Lepisosteus oculatus: one gene and its partners. The protein of the gene in region 1 purifies or fractionates together with the protein of each later gene. This does not show direct contact. Links are inferred from orthologs where the notes say so. Each region holds a gene or a part of one and is shown in the gene's direction. Other genes may lie near its edges.

Region 1 (7,859 bases):
CCCCTTATTATTCATATATTCCATAATTCATAGAAACATCTGCTTCTTCTTAGGATCTTCTCAATCCAGAAGATGATTTCTTACAATGCAGATATGTAGACATGAAAGTAAACTGCAGATCCCCGTGAATTGAATTAAGAAACTTTACAGAGTGCATTATAAACCCACCACATGAATAGAGGATCTGCTACCAAGTCACAATCTTGTCATTTCAGGTCAAACAATTTAAGAATGAAGAACGTCAGAACCTTACATGTCCTTTTTTCTTTCCTGTTGATATACCTAATTTTTAAGCATTTGTGACCACTTGAACTTGCAGTTATAAGCCTTATATCTGCCCTCATTCTGTTTCCATATCCTTCCCTGACCCTCATTTCCCCCTATTTTCCCATGATCATGCAGCCATTTCTTGAAAGATCCCAGCTCATCTGCTCTAACAACAAGGCTGGGCAGTTTGCATGACATACCTATCCCATAAGACACAGACATTTACAATACCTTGTGAACCTTAAAACTGCCTGTGATGTGAACTGGAACATAAATGATTTTTGGAGTACTACATAAAATATTTTAAGGATTCCTAAACACAGGAAAATGATTCAGATTTTGATTTAAAAAAATGTTGCAGCAGAAACCACAAGACACGATTCTTCATTGGTAAAGATTATAAATAGTATTAACATTTACGGCCTCACAATGCGGATGGGCGGTATTGGTGAACCCTCCTGCTTATTTCCGAGGCCACTTCAAAAAAGCGACAGAGGAATGGAAAGAAGTGAGTGTGTTAAAGGAAACTGAAAATACTGTAGTTAGCAAAACTATGAGAAGCAATACAGATATGTATTTGTGGATATATTTAAAGAATCATATATTATATTCTGTATATTATAGAAAATGATAATGTAAAGGATTATACTAACGATTCTATGTATATTTTTTTGAGAGGATGTTTGAGGTCTTGACGTCTAGGAGCGCTGTTTGAAGACTTGGGTTCGTGACAAGCTTAAGAAAGTGATTCAAACGAATCACAATATATGCAGAATTATGTACCTACATCACTTTAACAGCAGACTATCCCTTGTTAAGAAAGCTTTCTCATAACATGCTATCTCCAAATCTCATTCCAATAAGCCCAGGGGGGAAAAAAATGATATTTTCCGATTGTTGTCCCTATGATAGATAGAACTGTGTGATTACATCCCATTACGGAGGAGAGCTCTAACACCCACCAGTGAATCTGGCAATGGCAGGACTAATTGGATATACTGTTTGCATAAGTTCATCCTGCCCTAGCCACTGAGCGCAGCGGCAATGTCGGGGCTCTGGAGAGGAACGGAGAGGCGTGTGACGCAGAGTCCGGAGCTGCGCTGTCTTCGGCGGGGGTGGGGTGGAGACAAGAGGCGAGATCACTGCCTGCCCAGCACTGACAGCAGCGGAGCAGACGCCGACGCAGTCAGAGACGGTAGCTGTATGGTACAAAACCATTATACCCTTTTCTCTTCTTCCTAGGGACCGGCTTTATGATTAAGCTACAATCTTCAATGAGTAAGCATATCCCTGTAAGTATCCCTCTTTTTTTAATAAAAGATATCTTGTTTTTTTTTCTAGTCCTTATCCTACACTGTGATACAATTTGGCTACATTGTGGCCTCTTTTCTAACTTGCCATTATTCGCCAGCGTGTCTTTCTTAGGGGGAGGGTAAATTCTGTCGGTTACATGTCACACGTTTTTTATGATTTACTTATCGCTGTCAATGTATGAGTGCGTGGTTGCGAATTTAATACTGGTTTCTTGCGCTGGTTGTTAAATGAATGCCGGCGCGGATCGTGAAGGCACGCCTGGGCAAGACCGCCTACTGCATGCCTGGGAACGGGTTCCTAGGGCAATTTCTCATGGTAAACAGTTTAATTTAGCAAATGCTTCAGTAACTGTGTTGCATATGTCGTATGCAACATATGCTGGGTGCTGTTTATTATGCTCATGACGATTTATAAAGACGATTCCGTTTTCAAGACGCATCTTAATCGGAGTCCAGTGATTAGGCCTCAAACGACAGAGGCAGAAATTACAGGCTACACAAAGAGCTGCATTCGCCCGCTCCCTCCCGATGTGTCGGGTTTATGTTAGACCTAAGTGCTTCTATTCTGTACATATCTGGTTTAACCTCACAAAACACGTTTTTATTTTTTTCTGATTCCAAACATGAGAAAATAGCCATTTTCTCCCTTTTACAGCAGGTATGGGGTGGTATACCCGCCCGGTGCAATCGGTTCATTGATTCCCCCCTCTTTTCTCACCCTCGTGTATTTTGTGTGTGTGTGGGGGGGGTTGGGTTAAAAAAAAACATAATCGGCGTGTACAAGTAACATCAGGAAAATAAAACTGAGACATAGAACACTAAGGGAAACAAATCGCGTTCGGGAACATGGTGGCGGACCTGCGCGGCTCCCGACTGGAAGCCTGTTTAATCCAGTTCGGTCTCAGAAGTAGGGCACGGGTTTGCCCTGGATCTCCCGGTTTATCATCGGCGCCGGTGCCCGGTACCGCGGGGGCCAGCAGCCTCTCTCTGTATGTAGGCATTTGAGCCGCGGCGGACGCCTTGAATTTGCCCCGAGAAGGAAATTATTACCACAGTGGGATATGCTACACAGTAGCTAAATTGTACATCAAGTGATGCTTCGGGATACGTTGCGCTACAGCGAGGAGGCGGAGCGGGGGGATTCAAGCAGGAACCTGCTCACAAAATGGCCTTACAGGAACGTGGTCGAAACTGCTAGTGCTGTAAATAATTAGGGCTCCCCTCTGATTTAAGCTTCCTGTTAGTAGCTTATAGGAAAGGGAATGTCGAGTTTTCCGTGGAGGGAAATTTCCGCCAATTCTAAACATTTTATTAGCATTGGATTGTCAAAGTAACACTTGTTTCCACGATAAGGGTGTAGATTTTAAAAAAATACGTTTAGCTTTATCAAATATTAAATATTTAAAGTCGTGGCTTTAAATAAGGAACGCACGGTTAAAAAAATCCTGAAGCGACCCTTTCCGTTTTTACGACTATAACTAACCGGTGCTAGCAGGGAGAGAGAGAGAAAGCAGCTCTTGCGCTGAAATCCGTTGCTCCCTGAGCGGGCGGCCTGGTCCAGTGAAGTGCGCAGCGTCACTTGTGCCACTACAGGTGGACGCCATGAAGTCATCTTGACTCTTAAACCATTTTTTCTTTCATCTGCCAACAGATGTAATCACATGATATTAAGAGTCGCTGCTCAAGGCCTGATTCATATAAAAATGAGCCTTATGTCGAGTGTAGAAAAATGTTTTGCCGTCTCATGACTATGACTCATTGATGCTCATCTGATAGATTCGTTGTGTGAAGTCCCTTTTGATTTGAATGCAGAAGTCTTACCTGCAACCTGTTTCCCCTGAATTAGCTGGACAAAAGTGTTATTCACAGCACAGAGGTGGCTGGCTGATACTTCAAACCTTGCCCATAACTAATATAACTTTTTTTTTTAATGGTGTGCATAGATAATTATTTTTTCTTTCCCAACAGCGTAGGTTAATTTTAAATGTAGCATGGTAGTGTTTTGAGGAAGTGCAGGTGGAGAAAGTGTGACCGGGAAGCATGGCCCAGATGTAACAAGGCAGATGTCTCTCTCAAAGGTTTTTACATAGTGCTCCTCTCTCGGGCTAGGTGCTCGTTCTCTTAGATGTTTTTTCTTTTACAAGTGACGTAGTAATTATCAGTCCTAGAAATATGTACAGCCACATTTCAGATCTTGCACATCAGTTGTTGAAGCGTGGGGCACTATAGTCTGAAACTGTTCCATGTGTTTCGGGAGTATTCACAGGGACTCCTCAATGTGATGCACAGCCAGGAGGTTAAGTGCTCACGAGAATTGTATTAACAGTCCAGCTAATCACTGGCATATTCTGGTCTCTGATTCTGTGGTGCCTTTGCAATAAGTATTGCTAAGCAGTGACTGAAAGAGGTTAGGACTTTAACAGAGGTTTTTAAAGTAGATATGACTTAATGGTTGATACTTGGTTTGTAATGGTAAAGATCCTGTACACTTTACAAATTCTTTTGCTGAAATACAAATGACTTTGTGCAAAATGGTAAAAACAAGTTATTTTAAGGTAAAATATGCACATACTATTCTTGTTACAATTCCATTTTATGTCTGAAACCAAAAAGATTTTTTTAGACAATCATGGCTGAAGAACACATGCTTTACTTCCACGCTTCCCCATCATCCTGAATAGATCTTAATTTGTTTAGATATTTAAGTATTTATCTTCATTTTCTTCCATCTTATTCACCTGTTGGAGGTTAGCCGTACTTCAGTTTGCGTACTTGCAGAAAATGCCAAATGGTCTATAAAATAGTGCATATGAATCATGGTTGTGTGATTCAAGTACTTTTTAAGTGTTCATTTTGTTGAAGGTTTATTACTATGCAACTGGGACATTTAATGACGCAGCACATTGAGAAAAGCACAATAAAGCAAAGCTGAAGACTTGGCTTTTATAGCCACAGGTGTAGATTATGATTTGTTACTTGCAATTCAGCACAGTTTTCTGCCTTCAAAAATGTTTTAAAAAACAACAATCAAAGGAGTTCCAGCTTTTTGATTTGTATTTGCAACAGTTCAGTCAGGATAAATGTCACATTCAACATATCATCTTTAGAAAGTGTTTAGCAGTGGGGTCGGCCAGGGTTCCTGTGAACACGTGTTAACGCTTGTTCTGGTGGTTTCTCTTGCAGCAGTTCTGTGGTGTTCTTGGTCACACATTTATGGAGTTTCTGAAGGGCAGTGGAGACTACTGCCAGGCACAGCACGGAGTCTATGCAGACAAGTGAACTCTAGAAATTCATTACTACTCCACACAGAAACCCCCTTAGGAGCTGAGGCGGCGCTGATAACCTGGATAAGAAGCATTGAATAGTCCCGGCAGAGCACTTGTCTTCACAGAGGAGCTCGAACCTGGATGGGGTAACCTTTGGTGCACTGCCTTCTTTGTTGGCTTCAGTATTACTGGAATCAAGAAGATCTGCTGCTTTTTATTTAGTGATCCATTACCAGCCACCTACCCCCAGCTTATTTTCCTAGACCTCATCTTTGCAGAGGAGAGAATTTCCAGTGGAGTACAGTGAAAGAAAAAAAAGTCTTTTTTCCCATATATCCACGTCAATTTGTATTGGATATTTTTAAGCATTTTTTGTTATTATTGTTGTTCTTTATTAAATTTGTACAAAACCTTTTTTAACAATGGCCCGAATGAATCGCCCTGCCCCTGTGGAAATCAAGTACAAGAACATGAGATTCCTCATCACCCACAACCCCACTAATGCCACTCTGAACAAGTTTATAGAGGTGAGTTCCGCACACCATCAGAAAAATATCTGTGACACCCATGATTTATAGAAAGAAGAACTGTAGCTTTACTCTCCATAATATAAACCAGTGATCCTTTTTCCCATGTATAGATTGAATCCAGTTTTTTTAATGACGTTTATAACACAATTTTGGGAGGGATTATAGCAGCCAATTTCCATCAGCCTTGGCTGTCAGTAATTTGTAATAATTTCCTGACAGTATTGCCTCACCTAAAACATTATAAACACTATGCTTAATCCCCTTCTCCCTTAAATATATTACATTAAATAGATATGATACAATTTTTTACGTTGAATACAGGGGCTTGCTGGAATGTTTGTAATCTGTAGCTCCTCAGTACTTGGTCGTTAAAGATTCCATGGCACTTTTCATAAAAACCTAGCGGTTAAATTCCACTCTTTTTTCCAACATTTTCTTAAAGTTCCCCCTTAATTCGGCTGGTAAAGCAGTTTCTCCTTTCTCCACCTGATCTGTTGTTTGCCTAGTGTCACATAGTGTGTCCTTAAAGTCACCTCTGCTTTAGTACCAGATGAAGTAGGTTCCACTTCTATATGGTATTAAAAATTAGTTTTGACTTGAATGCGATTTTGACTTGTTGCTTTGTTTTAAAGGAACTGAAAAAGTATGGTGTTACCACGGTGGTGAGAGTTTGTGAAGCTACCTATGATACATCTCTGGTGGAAAAGGAAGGCATTCAGGTTTTGGTAAGTGCTGAGCAGGTTCATTTATTGGGAATATCCGGTTCCATTTTCCCACTTGGAATCCATGAGTTCAGGTGAAAAAGATTAGTGGTGGGTCTGAATTAGACCAATGCAACAATTAATCCATTTGTGCTTTATTTCATTTGGTAAAATGAATGGAAACTTCAGAGTGGTGACGAATGTTGGGAGAGGGATAGTTGGTTTGTTAGATTAGACTTGACATTTTCTTTTTCCTCAACACTGCCACGTTTCTATGCAAAAACTATATAATCAAGTTCAAGGTAACTGCAACAGCTGCTTTTAAAATCAATTATTTTGGTTCTCTGTATTTTGTTCTGTTTCAATAATCCTGTTAGAATAACTTTATATTCAGATAAAATGTATCTGAGCATTAAGGTTCAGCTTTGGCTGAAATTCTAGCCTGTTCTCATCAGACATTGGAAGCTAAGCCAAGCTGAACCTGGTCAGTACTGGCTGAGAAACTAAGGAAAATCAAGTTGGTCTTGAAGTGGTGTTGGTGGAAAATCAGAGGTGCTCTTCTTTCCTCACCGAAAAGTGGTGACCAGGAACACGTTAGGAGAGCTGAAGGAGGCGCCATCTTCTGATGAGGTGTTAAGCCAAGGTTTCTTTTTACTCTGTCATTTAAAGATCCCATGACATTCCATGGCCCGGTTGTTGAACTCATTTACCTGTGTGCAGGTGGGGCTCTAGAATTGTGGGTTCAAGCCTGTGGGTGATGTCACTAGCTGACTGCCAGGGGGAGTTTCTTAACAGCGCACTGTGGTGCACAATCGACTGAGTGCTGTCAAGGTTATGGCAGGATTAGTTGACCGGGGTGCGATCACTGCCATCACTGATCTCTGCAGCCTTGTACTTGCTAAAATTTTCTCAGTCTAGCCTAGTTTACCTCAGTTGTTGAAAGTTGTTGCCTCACTTCTTTGCCTAATCTGCTGTGTGGTGGGACTGTTGGCCCATAAGGGCTGCTCTGTGACAACCAGGTCGGAACTGTACTTCAGAGGTCGATGGAACATGTCCCTCATGGATGAGAAGCACTTTAGAATCCTTAGGGGTGAAAAGCACTTTATAAATGTGAGGAATTGGTAGAATTTCATGCTTTTCTGCTCTGAATGTTTTCTACAGGATTGGCCATTTGATGATGGAGCCCCACCTTCCAACCAGATTGTCGATGACTGGCTGAACCTCCTGAGGGCTAAATTCCGTGAGGAGCCTGGCTGTTGCATTGCTGTCCATTGTGTAGCAGGACTTGGCAGGTGTGTTTTGTCTTCATTGTGTTGCTCTTTGAAGAGCAGCCAATATGAAGTAACATTTATTTTGTTACTAATCTTCCATCCACTCTTTTAACATCTCAATTGGCAAAACAAATGACCTGTTCTAAGATGATTCTTCCTTTGGAAAGTTTATTGTAGCTATTGTTTTTATTGGTTCTAAAAAACGGTTTAGTTAATGATAGAGGTGTCATTTACATGTCTTTATTTTACAGAATTTTTTTATATGTTGGCAGCACATAATTTGAGAGTCAGGCTTAAAATCTTAAAAATATACAACACTTTGGTAAATGTTGTTGCATATGTTTGAAACAGTACATGACCCACTTTAATACTGAAGAAATATCAAGTCTTAGCCAATTTGAATTAAGGGGAGGAGTATGTACATTTAATCAATATATTGCAGGCATTTTGCATTATAATTTGGTCAATGAAATGACTTTTTTTTTAATTTCTGTCCAAAATTGCTTTCCAG
Region 2 (7,537 bases), on another chromosome or scaffold:
AGATTTATTTGAACGGGGAACTTATTGTTATTCTTGGGATTATGGGGCACTGCGATCAACATGAGGGGATTCGTAATTTCCTTCCCATTGTAAATGTAAGGAACGGGTAAGGGTTCATTGCGTGCTGAAAGGTAAAGAAAAGATACACAATGTTTCTGGCTGTGGAACCTTTTTCAGGTGACACATTGAAGGCAAATTGAAAGCACTTTGAAGCGAAAACACCGGTTCGTATTCCAACCACTAGGGGGAGCTATATTACTTTGAACGTTTTGCTATGGTGTGACTGTTTTCCTTACACTTATTTAGCGCTTTACAGGTAATGGGGACTCCCCCGACCACTACCATGATGCAACAGCAGCCAAAGTGCGCCAGAGTAATGAAGCCAATTCATTTAGCTATATACCTGCGTAAGATCTCATACTGTATCGGTTAACCAACATAAAAATTGCTCCATAATATTATTTAGGGATGAATTAAAGTGGTTTACACTTCTACCTTTTTTACAGTTTTAATTGTGAACAGAACTTGCAGGCTGGTTTAAAAACACGGTTATGCATACTGCAAAACACAGAATCAGACCAGGAAAAAAACACTTCCATTCGGTTTCTCCGCCAAGGCAAAGGAACCAAAATCACGTACTCGTGTGATCAGGGTTAGGGTTACACACTCCAGAAACCAAAGCAGCCTGCATCGCGGTTGCTCAATTCAACTTGCTGAACCGCCTTGTCAGGTCGGGCTGACCTGTGTACCGGCGGCAACTTTCATGTGAGATTATGGCAAGGCCTCCTCCTTACTCGCTCTCTCGCCTACATCGTTCACCTGTGTTCCCCCAGAACATAATTCCTGAAATGGCTGTGACTGGATGACTACCTCGCGTCAGATTTCGCAACACAACAGCACTGGTCTGGTCAGGTCGCCTCTACTTCTTGCATTACGCAATCCAAGCCAGGCGAGTCACGACGTGCAGGGCTAGGAGGCTAGGAGTCAGGTGCATGCATCAATAAAGCCACGCTGTTTTAAACGCGTGTTGTCAGTGCTCGGGTTGACTTCATATTGTAACGCTTACGGATATTTAGCGTTGCCATGGTTTGACAAGCCTGTCGAAAACACTAGCTACTGAAGATAACGTGACTGTGTTGGCGGATATTTTAGTGCACTTCACGTCGAGTCGATCCGATCCGCCAAGCCAGTGTCAGAAAGCGAAGGCAGCTGGAGATTTCAGCGCTGTCATTTGATTTGCAGGGAGAGTCTTTTCTCTCTCCCGCTATGATCGATCCGCTCTCACCCTCCCCGTTCATCTGTACCGTAATGGATCTTACCTTGGTACGGCTTGATCAGCGAATGCTCCCTTTTCAGGAACTCTTCCACCTCGTGTCCTTCGTCACCCCAGCACGGGCTTGCCGTGAGCAGGATGAAGACAACTGCGAACGGGATCTTTTTGATCATATTGTGAAAAGAAATGAAATAAAAAATTCCCTTGCGAGCCCCAGCTAGAACCTTCCCGTTCATGGCAGCGGCCATTTTGCTCCTCCCCCTCCCTCCATGACACGCCTTTCCCCACCTACCTCGCCTCTCAGTGGCTGGTAGGATGTGTTGTCATCAACTATTCGCTGCACTGAACTGCCATTCACGAGTCTAACTCTACCTGTGCCCCGCCCCCGATGAATAATGACAGTTCGTTGGAAGCGAAATATGATTGGTTCAGGGGCTAATACCCGCCCACTTGTGAGACTTTTGGGATTCTATTGGTAAAAGTTATTATCAATTAAAGAGACTCCAAACATCCCGCCCACTCCCGGAAGCAGTTGCCTTGGTAACTGATTCCGTTAGGAGGGTGAATAGTAAGATGTTGAAAATGTTTGTCTAATAGTGTAACGTTAAAAAACCAATCTGAACACTTAAAAAAGTTTTTCTTAGCCACAGGCCATATACCTTCTACTTGAGCGTTACTTGTTTCTTTCAAGTTTCAAAAAGACAAAATCACATTTCGTAGAAGTATGTCGGATAGCACAAGAAATCAAAACCGAGAATAGGAACGATTTTTTAATGAACTGTAGCTACATATGCTTAAAAGTTTTGCTATGTTTATGTTTTTATTATCTACCCGAAACGTATTATTAAATAACGAGGTTTCCTATGATACTTAAAGTGCATATAGTCGAACGGAATTATTTTCCAGAACCGCAAGCACAGCGGATGTGCTTTTGGATGTTTCTTCCTTACTGATCTCATCCTGGACTTTTGAGGTGGAAACCTTAAAACCTTAAAAGCAGTTTTCCAAGAAGCCCGGTACGCTCACCCGAGCAGGGACTGGTTTGTCGCGGGGCAGGACCTGGGTGTGACGCCTTGCTTCCTCTCAAAGAGCAGCAATTTCTTTTTCTGAAGACTAATATTTCGCTTGGAAGCCTGACGTTCATATTTAGCAAGGGATTTGATGGAACAATTGCAATGAAATTATTTAAGCTTCTACATTTTCATCTTATAATTAATAGTTTGATGTTTGATATTTGTTTTTTGAGAGCAAAGGGTCAAAGAATCCGCAGTCTGATGATTTTCCAAACTTTGCATATGAAAGGCCGTCGAAAGTGTGTTTTTAAAACGGTTTACGAAGCCAAAATTGTAACAGCGACTGAACTCAAGCAAGCCCGGGAATTCATTTCGAAATCTAATGCATCTTGAGGCTGACTCATGTGGCTCACGAATGTCTGAACGCAGACCTGAAACATAGGAGAATGAAATCATGTGCGCTAAATATGACATAGTGTTTATAACGCCCGATCACAGCCTAGCCACAAAGCCCTATTCAGACAGAAGACTCATTTCCTGGAAACCGCTAACTGAGAGGCTGTGGAGCGCTGAGCAGTTTTGAGCTCTGTCACATGGCATATACTGTAAGGCCGCAGTTAGGCTTTTTAGTTTTGTTTCCCGCCTCTGGCGTCGCCGACAGGGAACGTGATCTGTTCTCATCATTTTGCCCTTTACCTTATATTGGCTGTTGTTTCTTTCTCGGTCCTCCCCGTGCGCTCTTTCACTCACAATACAGCCAATAACACGCTTCTCCAAAACCTTCCCACTACAATTTAACGCTTATTCATAATCCCAAAAAATCCTACAACCCTGTACTTGTGCTCTTCTATTGTTTGCTATAATTATAGTTTACGAGTAATCTTTGCTTTGCTCTGATAGTGTTTGTATAAGTTGTTTGTTACTCTAGTATTCTATTTTATTGGCCTTTATCGGTCATTTATGCACATATATCAATCTACAAATCCCCTTTGATATCGAGGTGGCATCGGCAGGAAAACACTATGTTAACGATTTATGATAGTCCTCAGTATTTTAACTATATTATGTTAAGAGGATTTTTTTGCGGGCTTAGTCAATTCCAATCAAAACTTCCACATTCGCATGTACAGCAGGTGGGATTAAGAGGTTCTCCTAATCTACTTGGAAAAGTCATGATAAGTGCTAAAATAATTGTGTCGGGAATAATTCTGTGTACTGAGAATTATTCTGAGCTGTTCAATAAAAAAGCATTTTTGTTCAGTTTACAGTCCATTTCATCACAACGTTTGTTTTAAGAATGAATTAAAGAGTTTTTATTTTTTAGCTCTTGAGAGATTGACGGTATTCATTATAATTATTGTAATAAAGTAAATAAACGCATGATTTCATCCTCATTTGTAGTAAAAATGTTTGGATTACAAGTCATTCTTCCGGTACCCCCACCCCCACAGCACCCTTCATTTAGCTTTGCTGGATTTCATTCTTTAAAAGTGTGGAGGCTGAGGCTGCGTGATGTCATTATCACCCAATCAGGGGCCACCCGGACATGATGATGTAATGTTTACCAGCAAGTTCAGTAGCACTGCGGTTCAATCGGATATAATCACTGAAAAAAAAAGTTAAAACGCCTTTTTTATTTTTATGAGGATATTATTTTAACATCACTGTCAAAATGGTGAACCTCATTAAGATTCGATGTTCTGTAGCTAATATATAAACTATATATGGAGTGCATACTTATTCCGTCTGAAGTAGTAAACGATATATTTGTATTTTATAATTACAGTGAAAAAAATAGTATAATTTCCTAAATTTCTTATTATTAATTAAAAGACTCTTACTCTTACTGGAACACTTGAAAAGTTGAATTGCTAAATATCACATATACGTCAGTTATGCCATCGGTATGTGCATCTATGTCAGTTAAAACAGTCTTAAAGGATAGTTAAAGGAATTGCTTTCAGGATATACTATGAACAATAACGACTCCAATTAAATAAAAATATTTCCTTCCATCTTAACAAGTGCACTGCTCTTCCTTAAAAAGAAAGTGATGATTTAGAAGGCGGCCCTAACGTCATATGTGGGCGGTATAGAAGGCGGGGTTAGGATAATGAAGAGGCGGGTTTTAAGAAATGAGTAGGTGACGTCAGCTCCCAGCTTGCGGAGAGTGAAACAAACATGGCGACAGACTGGAGTGGGCAGGGGTATATTCTAACTTTGATCGTTTTTCTATGGAGCTCAACAGCTGGACGAATGGAGGCAGCAACCGCAGAGGTCAGTAACAGCCAGATCTTGGGCATGCGGCTGGTGTGGAGCAACAAGTCGGCCACGACCACCAACGAGGGAATCATCCAGGTAACAGAGGGCAGTGAGGTCCAGCTCAGGTTTTACGGGCTGCAGCTAAACTCGGGCACCTGGTCACAGATCAGGTTTACGGAACACGGAGACGGAGTGGGAGAGGGCGAAAACAATGCCTTTAGCCACTCTTTTAACAGGACTTGCGCCGATTTCACCAAAGACATCGCGATCAATAATTTCATGAACGTCAGCAGCCAGGGCACCTCCGGGGTGCTCAAATTAGCCATCAAGACGCTCCGCAAGAGCGAAGAGTCCAAGGAGTACAGCTTGTGCGTGAAACGCAGCCCGGAAGGCGAGTGGGACCTGTTCGGGGAGAACGATGGCAAGCTGAAGGTGGTGGAGGAGAAGTCGTCGCTGCTCCCGCTCTGGCTGCAGATCATATTGATCGCCCTGCTGCTGTTACTGTCCGGCATGTTCAGCGGACTGAACCTGGGGCTGATGGCTTTAGATCCCATGGAGCTCCGCATCGTGCAGAGCTGCGGTACGGAAAAGGAGAAGAAGTACGCCCGCAAGATCGAGCCCATCCGCAGGAAGGGCAACTACCTTCTGTGCTCGCTCCTGCTGGGCAACGTGCTCGTCAACACGACCTTGACCATCCTGCTGGACGACCTGATTGGATCTGGCCTGGCTGCGGTGGTGGCCTCCACCATCGGCATCGTCATCTTCGGGGAGATCATGCCCCAGGCGCTGTGCTCTCGCCACGGCCTGGCCGTGGGGGCCAACACCATCGTGCTGACCAAGTTCTTCATGCTGCTCACCTTGCCCATGTCCTACCCCATCAGCAAGCTGCTGGACTGCGTGCTGGGCCAGGAGATCGGCACCGTCTACAACCGGGAGAAGCTGGTGGGGATGCTCAAGGTGACGGAGCCCTACAACGACCTGGTGAAAGAGGAGCTCAACATGATCCAGGGGGCGCTGGAGCTGCGGACCAAAACCGTGGAGGACGTCATGACCCCCCTGAGCAACTGCTTCATGATCCACAGCGACGCCGTGCTGGACTTCAACACCATGTCCGAGATCATGGAGAGCGGCTACACCCGCATCCCGGTGTTCGAGGACGAGCGCTCCAACATCGTGGACATCCTGTACGTCAAGGACCTGGCCTTCGTGGACCCAGACGACTGCACCACGCTGAAGACCATCACCAAGTTCTACAACCACCCGGTCCACTTCGTCTTCCACGACACCAAGCTGGACGCCATGCTGGAGGAGTTCAAGAAAGGTAGGGCCCGTCGTCATAGCAACAGAAGCTTGTCGAGCGCATGGGACTGGCGCGGTGTCAAAGAAGAGCACTGGAGAGCTTCTGCTGCTGAAAAGCCTAAGGCTGGAAGCCGCAGTGTGTTTTGCAGTTCCAGACTGGTCTCATTTGTCAGTCTGGTTTGCCCACCTCTTTTTCATGTTGTTGTAAAGATGGCGTTCATTAAAAGGTATGAACAGCGCCTCTGTCTTTTTTAAATTAGCACTGTGGGGAAAAAGAGGGTATAAGGTTTGTTAGCCTTGGTTTTCTCCTCCCAGGAGTCATTGACACCTCTCTTCTGGTATATAATGATGTGCAGGGCTCCATACTCAGGATTTACTGTTGCTCTTTGTGCGTTCATGACCTCACAAATCTAAAACGTCCTCAGAAGTGATGAATATAGTTTCATGCTTTCGAGTTTAAACATTTGTGTTTTTAGGTCTGTGTGTCCGACCGGCTCTGCAGGCATCCTGTGTTGGGTTGTTTCACGAAGCAAAATGATCTGTGCGTTCTCATTTCTAATCCCTCCTCCGCCCGCTTACCACTTGTATTTCTGACAGGACAAACACTCGGGGCTGACGGATTGAGAAATCATTTCAGGCTCGAGTGTTATTGTGTGAGTGAAGAGTTGTGCAGCTAAGTTAGACCATCCAAGTTGTCCTTACAGGATACGTCCCTCTTTGTGTCTGTCCATGTATCTGATCTTGTCTGCCAGCCTCTGCAAATATCTGTATGCCTGGCTCTCTGCCCTTCTTACATCAGTGGTGTTGGGGAGACTGCTGTGGCTGTTGCTCTGCGAAGGCGTGTGTGGTTGCACGGCTGAAGTTACAGGCTGCCTCTGTGCTGTGTGTCTCCCGCGGACGTGCCGGTGTCCCCTCGCTCACCCTGTGCACTGAAACCTTTGGAGAGGAGACAGGTTTGCAGATTATGCAGCAGTGTGGTACAGCAATTCCAATGCTTTGTCGGGAGGCCGCCATCAGGCCCTTAAAGAGGCAGCACCAGTAAGGACACACCAGGGCGCCTCTGACTAGGCGTCTGCTGGAGTGTTTTTCCATTCAGGCTGCTGAGGGGCTGGGATGTTGGTGAACATTTCTCCATGTGTCGTTTTGATGCTTTGTGTTTTCACAACCGCCTATGTTCCCAGCTCCCTGTGGGGCTTCTTTTAAACAAACATTTACTGTTTAGCAAAGAATTTCAAGACAGAAATGTGCATGTGAGAATTGGAGAGAGAGTTAATTGCCATATTCCTTCAAGGCTAACAAAAAGAAAAAGCTCTCAAGGGGAATGAAACCCATGCTTTGTTTCAGGGCTTAACAGCTACAGTTCTGCCTCTCCTCTTCCTGCTGTGGTATCCAAACTCCTTTTTTTTGCACCATCTGTCCTGTCCGAAGTGACATGAAGGCTGGGGTGTGCAGACTCACTGAGGGTCTGATGATCCCCTGATCCCCTGATGAACCGAGCTCGTTATTTACTCAGCAAGACTCTTTCATCTCTAGTGCTTCACCCAGGTTTTAAACTGCTCCCAGTTTTAAGGTTATAAAGCTGACAGAGCTGTAGCCTTTGAGGTTAGGAGTTTCAGTGTGTCCGGTGTTGTCTGTTGTGCAGTTTAAAGACAGTCACTGATTTGCAAATAATGTTCTTATAAAGCAAACC
Region 3 (7,547 bases), on another chromosome or scaffold:
ATATTAAGATCAGCATGTTTTGAGACGTGGGTTTTGCTCTCCTATCCCGAGAGCGGAGCAGGTGGACTGGAGCGGGGGCTGATGTGACTGTACGTTTACTTTCTTTTAAAATCACAGTGGCAGGTGTCAGTAAAACACAATGAAGGGGTCAGTAGCGAAGACTTAATCCAGGGATAACGCGACTCTGGTTAACAGATGATTTCCTTTTTAACCTCGAAACTCCTTAGCGAATTGACCAATGTTTTTTTTTTATTTTAGTTAAAAAGTTTAAGTAGTACACGGGAAGTTCATGTTTAAATTGTAGGATTTAATTCAACAATAGTCTCTTTAGTCCTTTGTAATTAAAAAAAAAAACTAAGTGGGGTTACCCGAAATAAAAGGACACATTTGTAAAAGAAGTATTATAAATATTTCACACCGCGAAACAATCGTGCAAAAGGTCAGGCAAGCAAGTATTCAATAATAAGTGGTTAGGCAGTTCAACAGTTTGAGATTCGCATTATTTCAGATAAGTTTTAAAATACGTTCAGAATTTTTTATATATTTAGCTTTACACACAACAAACTATTAAAGGCATTGCTTGTTGGGTTTTATGAGCTCATCTTGCATTTAAGTAATTACAAAGATTCAACACAAAGAGTTTCAAATCTAAATCTATATTAATCTTCTTTGTATATAAACTTTGGAAGAACTTCATACGTCGGGTCCCTTTATTTCCTGATGAAATGGGGTTAAAGACTTATTTTAACTTATTAGGATCTAAAAAGAAAGCGACCGTGCTCCTGTCACACTGGAGTCCAGATGATCCTTAAATAGCCTGCAAAGACTTCAGCTACACTCTAAATGAATCATTCTCACTTAATAATTCTGGACTCCTTAACGCAAAATGTCTCACCTCATTCATTGTTACTCCTCTGCGCGCTGAGTTAGCCCAAATATTTTACTGTCAGGTTAAGGCTAAAAATACAACCAGTTACCGCATTGAAATTTGCTGTTAGTTTCAACAGTGGGTTCAGATTAAAAACAGCCTTTTCAGATAGGATACCCGAGCCAGAAAGAAAGTCTTGGAACCCCTGACTCGGAGTGAAGAGGAATAGGAGATACCGAGACAAAATGCAAAAACATGCATACTAAGCCACAGACATCACCAATTATCATCACCCTATTATTACGAGCGGTAACAAAAATGTTATAACTGCAGCAGCAGTAGCGCTCTTGTGGTAGACTACACTAAAAAACTTCTGAGAATAATACAGTCTGGTTTTCAAGCCGAGACGACTCAATATTGTGGTAAAGTCAGCACACAACAACACAAAGCCGTGTTTTTCTAGTCCCCCATCTTTTAAAAAAAAACCGCTAATATTTTGTTGGTGTTTCTTAACACAAAAGCGGACAAGTCTTTTTTGAGAAACGCGAGAGAAACTTGTGCGGTTTTCGTTTGAATATTTGAACAGGTGTCTTGTGAAATATCCAGCTTTTTAAAATAAAACAACAACCAAAGAAGCAAGAACACATTGCAAAAGGAAAATCAGTCAAGTGAACGTTGTACTGTACGTATCTACAGACTCGTATATTGAATGAAAAAAAAATATTTTGGAGAAGATGTTTGTAAGGATAATCTATGGAAATTCGTCAGGCTAGGGTAAAGTGTGCGGTACGGGTTGTTTTTTGCGTGACACCGGAGGCGAATCCTAAAACCATTAGGCTACAACCATAATAATGAATGATCTTTTGAAGCCAGATTTTGCTTCTGAGAGCACATTTTTGGAAATGTTAATCCATAAATGGTTAGCAGATTTCTTCTTCCCAATCTTTGTTTTCAATGTGCAGTGGAAGGATTCCAGCGTTTCAGCACACATTTCAAAGGAACAGGGTTTATCCAAGCAGTGATGATGTGTGAAAACTGGAACGCAATCACAGATTCCGTGAGAAAAAAGAATTCTGGATTTACGGTGCACTGTCAGTGGCAAAATACAGACATGAATGGTAACCGCACTGCTCCAGCAAAGAAATTTCTGTGGGCCGCAACAACCTGCTTTTAATATGTATAATCAACGATCCTAGAGTAATAGACATCTTGAAACACCACATTACATGAATTAGGAAAACTACAAAAAGTGGAAAGTGCTACACAAACACAATTATTTATTGGCTATCACTGCACATTGCTAGAGCGCGTCTGCGTTAGCCCAACCAGCTGAGCGCTTACTGTATGTCACAGCAGTGCTGAACGATGAATTCATTTTGAACTCATTATCCGTTTCCTTCCAAGTCATTGGAAAAAAAACAGACAGTCCGTAAACAATAAAGGAAATCATAAGAAACACGTTATTCTTACCTCATGAGATCGTGAAGTCAGGTAAACGCCCGGCCATTCGAACTGCTACCGTATCTCTCAAGTCTCTCTGCCTGTGCAAAACGTGTTCAGTTTTACCTTACAAAATCAAGCATGCCTTATTTATGTAACATGAATGATTGTTAAATATTTGTGCCCTGGAGCCAGAAAGGACTTACATATAGCATTTCAGAAGGGGTCTTTTATAAAAACGCTAAATGTATTTTAGTAGTTCCGATGGGTAGCTGCGTCAGCATGCGTAGGCTGCAAAGGAACAAGTAATAGGTTTATTCCATGCTGAAAAAAAGAAGAAAGAAAACACAACGTTTCGGCCGTGGAGCCTTCTTCAGGTGTGGTAAATGTATTTCAGGGCTTGACAGAACTGTGTGGTTTGTTGTGGTTCTGTTAATGAGCAACGTGAACTACGTGCTGAGTGGAAATAAACGTCTGCTTCCTCTGCCTCCGAATTTCTTTATTTCGGGGTGGGGGGGGACATTTAAATATTTCACGATTAGACTGGCACTCCTGGTGCGCGGTACTTGAATCCTAAACTAGCTCACGCTTTTCACAGCCAAGACAGTGCAAAGGGTGCCACCTCGTGGTGTATTTCTATATAACTGGCCAGAGTTTCTTTATTTTTCCATCTATCACTGCCCCATCACAGAGATTTTGCAAATCATGCACATCATCTTCACGTTTATGAAGTACCTGACTGTTATAATGAAGGGAGGTATAATTGTAAATATTCTGCAACTTCTGTGTGTCACCAAAACGGTGCAGGTGGAAACATATTTTAAGTTTATGATATTGTTTATTCTACGCGATTTGAAAAACGCGACCGAACCCAATTGTTTCGTGTCTGACGCACACTACCGGACGGGCCTGAAATAAGCGGGGTGTTTTCTTAGACTTTTATTCATCCAGCCCTTCATATTTCTTTTCCAGCGCGGCTGTGGAGAAGCGCAAACAAATTATTTGAAGCGCACAGAAAGGACGAAGTGTCAAGTTTTTTATTGTGTACTTCTGGATAAGCTCCAAAATACAAAATATATTTTAAAAGACTCATGACTTGTAAATTTGCAAACAAAAATGCGGTGATGTGAAGGCCAATGTTTGGATTTAGCAAATCGAAGCATGCACTTCATCAAGTGACCTAAACTGGGATTTTTAATCGCTCCTTCAGGGTTAATTTCCTCGGTGGCGAGTCCCCACAACCTTTTCTGCCGAGCGACCCATCAGCATCTGTGGCTTATGTTGTTACTGTATTCTCTGTTACAAGAACTTAACGATAAAAAAATGACACCGTCACCATCTCTCAAGGTCATCTAGGACATTCTGGAATGTCATGATAATGCCGTTTTGCAGGACCAAAAAACACACTTTTAACGTCTTCAATGGTACAAACAACCTTACAGTGGCAAATATAACAATTTTTGCTAAGAGATTGCAACAGGAACAACGGCGGTTTTATAGGACATTCGCCTAGTTTTCGAAAGCTATAAGAAAGTATTATGTTAGAATAACATTTTCATTGTACACGCAACAGAACCTTAAAAGACACATACCAAACATAACCTGTCTATATTTATCAATTAAGTGTTTAACTTTAAATTTGAATGCGTCGTTTAATATGAAATGCAACCCTAAATTCAGATACTAGTGCTTTATCGGGAGAAACAGATCGCTGTGACAGGTTACATTGGGGACTGCAGGGAATTAATCGGAAATTCGGCGAATCTGCCCTTTCTTTTCCATTTTTAGCATGAGATTAACCTCTTCTTGCTCATTTGCAGCTCGGAAGGTGACGCTGGTCCCAGCGCTTGTATTGTTTTATGCACAGAAATGATGACACGCTGAAATAATGAATCTATTCCACGCGTTTTTGTTTTTAAACAAAATCAGCGGTGATTCGTGGTTAGTTGACAGCTGTCTGATTTTGGATGTTAAATAGCATGGAGCAGAACAGCGTTATTGGAAAAACGTTTGCTCTCACACGAACCGTGAGCTTCCACGGATTTCCAGAACCTGGCAGCTTTTGGTGCCCCGCTTCTCTGATTACAGTATGTGCTGTAACCTCGCTTCTTGCGAAATGACATTACGTCACTGCAGCGCGTTATTCTTAAAGAGGTCTACCCTCCATCGGTCACTTAGCCCCTCTGTATTTACACTGTACGCCAGCTGTTACCCTGATTTCAGTGATAAAGCGTGACATCGCCACGTGACTGCGCTCGCCAATGTCCTCATACAACACATTCAGCATCATGGCTGCGGATGCTGCGGCTGCTGGCGCTCCGACCTGCATCCTGCGACCCGGTTCCCTGCCTCTGCTCCTCATTTTTGCCATTTCTTTGCCCGCATCGGCCCTTGGGCTGCTCGGATTCAGGCCGGAGGACACAGGGGGAGAGCTGTCCGTAGAAGACGGGGTGCTGAAGGCGACTGAGGGAACACGGTTCAGACTGCGTGTGTACTATGCAGCATCCCAGCAGAGACTCAACAGAAGTGTCAGCGGCAGAGCTGGGGATGCGGCTACAGCGCCGTGGATCGCTTTCATTGAAGAGCCAAGTCCGGGCAGAGAGGGACAGGTGCACCCCAAACGGAACCTCTGTGTGGACAAGAATGCCAGGACAACCGATATTGAGCTCTTGGGCTCTTTCAAGTCCGCATCCAGCCAGAATTCAATCCTGGTGGAGCTTCTCGCCAAGGACCTGCGCAAAGGTGAGAAAATCAAATATTATTCCATGTGTGCCTTTGATGGGATCAAGTGGGAGCACTTCAGGACTAGAGATTTCTGGCTGGCAGTCGTAGAACGTTCTCCAGAGGCCGACGTCTGGCTGCAGGTCATCGTCTCGCTGTTACTCCTGGGTTTTTCTGCCGTCTTCAGCGGGCTTAACCTAAGTCTGCTGGCACTGGACCCAGTGGAGCTCCGGGTGATCCAGAACAGCGGTACCGACAAGGAGCAGAAGCATGCCAGGCGGATACAGTCCGTGCGAAAGCACGGCAACTACCTGTTGTGCACCTTGCTCTTGGGCAACGCCCTCATCAACGCCTCTCTGGCAGTCTGGATGAGCCACATATTCGGAGTGACATGGGTTTCCATTCTGGCCTGCACCGTCGGCATTTTCTTCGTCGGGGAGATCCTGCCTCACTCTGTCGCCTCCAGACACGGACTCGCCATCGCTTCCAAGACCATCTGGGTGACGCGGCTGCTGATGCTCATCTCTTTCCCCATCTCCTACCCCATCAGCAAGCTGCTGGACGCTGTCCTGCACCAGGAGATCAGCAGCTTTTACACCCGGGAGAAGCTGCTGGAGATGCTGCGGGTGACGGACCCCTACCACGATCTGGTGAAAGAGGAGCTGAACATCATCCAGGGGGCCCTGGAGCTGCGGACGAAGACCGTGGAAGACGTGCTGACCCCGCTGAACGACTGCTTCATGCTGGCCTCGGACGCCGTGCTGGATTTCAACACCATGTCAGAGGTCATGCAGAGCGGATACACCCGGATCCCGGTGTACGAGGACGAGCGGTCCAACATCGTGGATATTCTTTTTGTGAAAGACCTGGCTTTCGTGGACCCGGACGACTGCACCCCCTTGAAAACCATCACCCACTTTTACAACCACCCCCTGCACTGTGTGTTCAACGACACCAAGCTGGACGCCATGCTGGAAGAGTTCAAGAAAGGTAAGGCTTGCCTCCCACCCTCTCGCAACCCTGGCCCATGAAGGAGGTCATCTCTCTGAGTAAAGTTGATGCTGCTGACTGTAATATGTTCGATATTTCTGGCGCCTGAGGAATTTAAAACCTTGCTTACGCTGAGATGAAAAGACCTTTAACTGCTGCTGCTCCTGTTGAGCACTGTCTCCATCCTAGGCTTGGCTTCTCAGCATTCAGTGACAAAAAGCTGTTTTCGCCTTTAAGTTTGTAGAATATTTTCAGAAATGACTGTTGCTTTCAGCAGCACAGTGACACAGTGGTTAGCAATGCTGCCTCGCAGCAGTCCCTGGGTTCAATTCCTTGGTGCTGTCTGTCTGGAGTTCATACATTTTTCTCATGTTTGCATAGTTTTCCCCTGGTGCCCTGGTTTCCTCCCAAAGATTAAAGGCATGTTGGTAAGTTAATCAGCTTCTGGGCAAATGTTCCGGAATGTGAGTGTCTGGTTGTCTGTGTGTTTATCTGCCTTGCGATGGACTGGCGTCCCTTCCTGGATGTGCCCTACCTTGTGCCTGTTGCCTGCTGGGATAGGCTCTGGCTTCCCTGTGACACTGAATTTGAAGAATCGATTAGAAAATGGATGACTATTGTGCTATCAGTGGTTTCATTTAACATGGTTTATATTTACACAGTTTACACAACATATTTAGTTTTCAAAGAGATATCAGATACCCTACAGTGGTAAATGGATTTTAAGTTAGAGCCCAGTGTTTCACACAGTAGTGGTCAGAGCTTAATTACAGCTTAATTATAGAAATGTTACTGTATATCCAAAGAGGGAGTTGGCAGTAAGTTTACCTGGGGCAGATGATAATGTTTTTGTCTTATCAAAATGCTAGTGTGAAGCATTCTGTTCAATATTGTGATGTGATAAAGTGTAAATGTATTTATTGATTTGTTAATCTGGAGAACTGTGCTTATCTACAATGTGTGATGAATCCAGGCATGAAGAATATGTGATGGGGTGTAAAAGGTATGGTTTAAGTACTGAGCCCTGTACAGATTGGGAATGGTTTGAGGAAATGTGGACAAACATGTTTGTGCTCCTGGGTTGTATGACAGATGATAAGAGTGGAGGAAAATGCTTTCTTTCTACCATTATCTTTACAGTATTAGCGAGAATATATTTCATAAATCATATATAATAAAAGATATCCTGAAAAGCCAGTATATGAAACTATGAAAGTATGACTTGGAAAAGAAACATTTCTCTTTATATCGCCTTAATACACCAAAACCTATTCAATGCAATAAGTAATCTGTACATGTTGTAACATTAAAAGCTGATTAACATGCAATGTCACATGGCAGAGAACAAGGGAGTTGTTTCTAAGCAGAAAGTTAAAATGAAAAAACTTTTCCATGCAGCTCATAGCTCTTTACATTCAGAAGGAGCTTAGCAGAACTGTAGGCAGGGTCTTTGCGATCCGCAGAACTGCAAAGATAACTGTTCTCAAGCTTGCTCAGAGCTGGTCTGATACCAGAGAATGTTATTGTT

What was found. Proteins that work in one complex are often made in the same cells at the same time.
Region 2: the proteins of ptp4a1 (region 1) and metal transporter CNNM4 purify together in Homo sapiens (affinity purification with mass spectrometry; 6 studies listed by BioGRID and IntAct, with this or other methods). This does not show direct contact. The link is inferred for Lepisosteus oculatus from reciprocal best matches to the Homo sapiens genes PTP4A1 and CNNM4.
Region 3: the proteins of ptp4a1 (region 1) and metal transporter CNNM1 purify together in Homo sapiens (affinity purification with mass spectrometry; 4 studies listed by BioGRID and IntAct, with this or other methods). This does not show direct contact. The link is inferred for Lepisosteus oculatus from reciprocal best matches to the Homo sapiens genes PTP4A1 and CNNM1.

What each region holds. Positions count from the first base shown.
Region 1 is NC_090712.1:20,374,698-20,382,556, forward strand, and holds the start of ptp4a1 (protein tyrosine phosphatase type IVA 1), read left to right. Parts: upstream 1-4,858; 5' UTR 4,859-5,268; coding exon 5,269-5,373; intron 5,374-6,008; coding exon 6,009-6,101; intron 6,102-7,238; coding exon 7,239-7,369; intron 7,370-7,859. UniProt on the Homo sapiens protein: Protein tyrosine phosphatase which stimulates progression from G1 into S phase during mitosis. May play a role in the development and maintenance of differentiating epithelial tissues.
Region 2 is NC_090697.1:69,731,643-69,739,179, forward strand, and holds the start of metal transporter CNNM4, read left to right. Parts: upstream 1-4,449; 5' UTR 4,450-4,467; coding exon 4,468-5,869; intron 5,870-7,537. Other genes in the region: lman2la (lectin, mannose-binding 2-like a), read right to left, coding at 1,320-1,521. UniProt on the Homo sapiens protein: Probable metal transporter. The interaction with the metal ion chaperone COX11 suggests that it may play a role in sensory neuron functions. May play a role in biomineralization and retinal function.
Region 3 is NC_090699.1:30,558,400-30,565,946, reverse strand, and holds the start of metal transporter CNNM1, read left to right. Parts: upstream 1-4,459; 5' UTR 4,460-4,569; coding exon 4,570-6,019; intron 6,020-7,547. UniProt on the Homo sapiens protein: Probable metal transporter.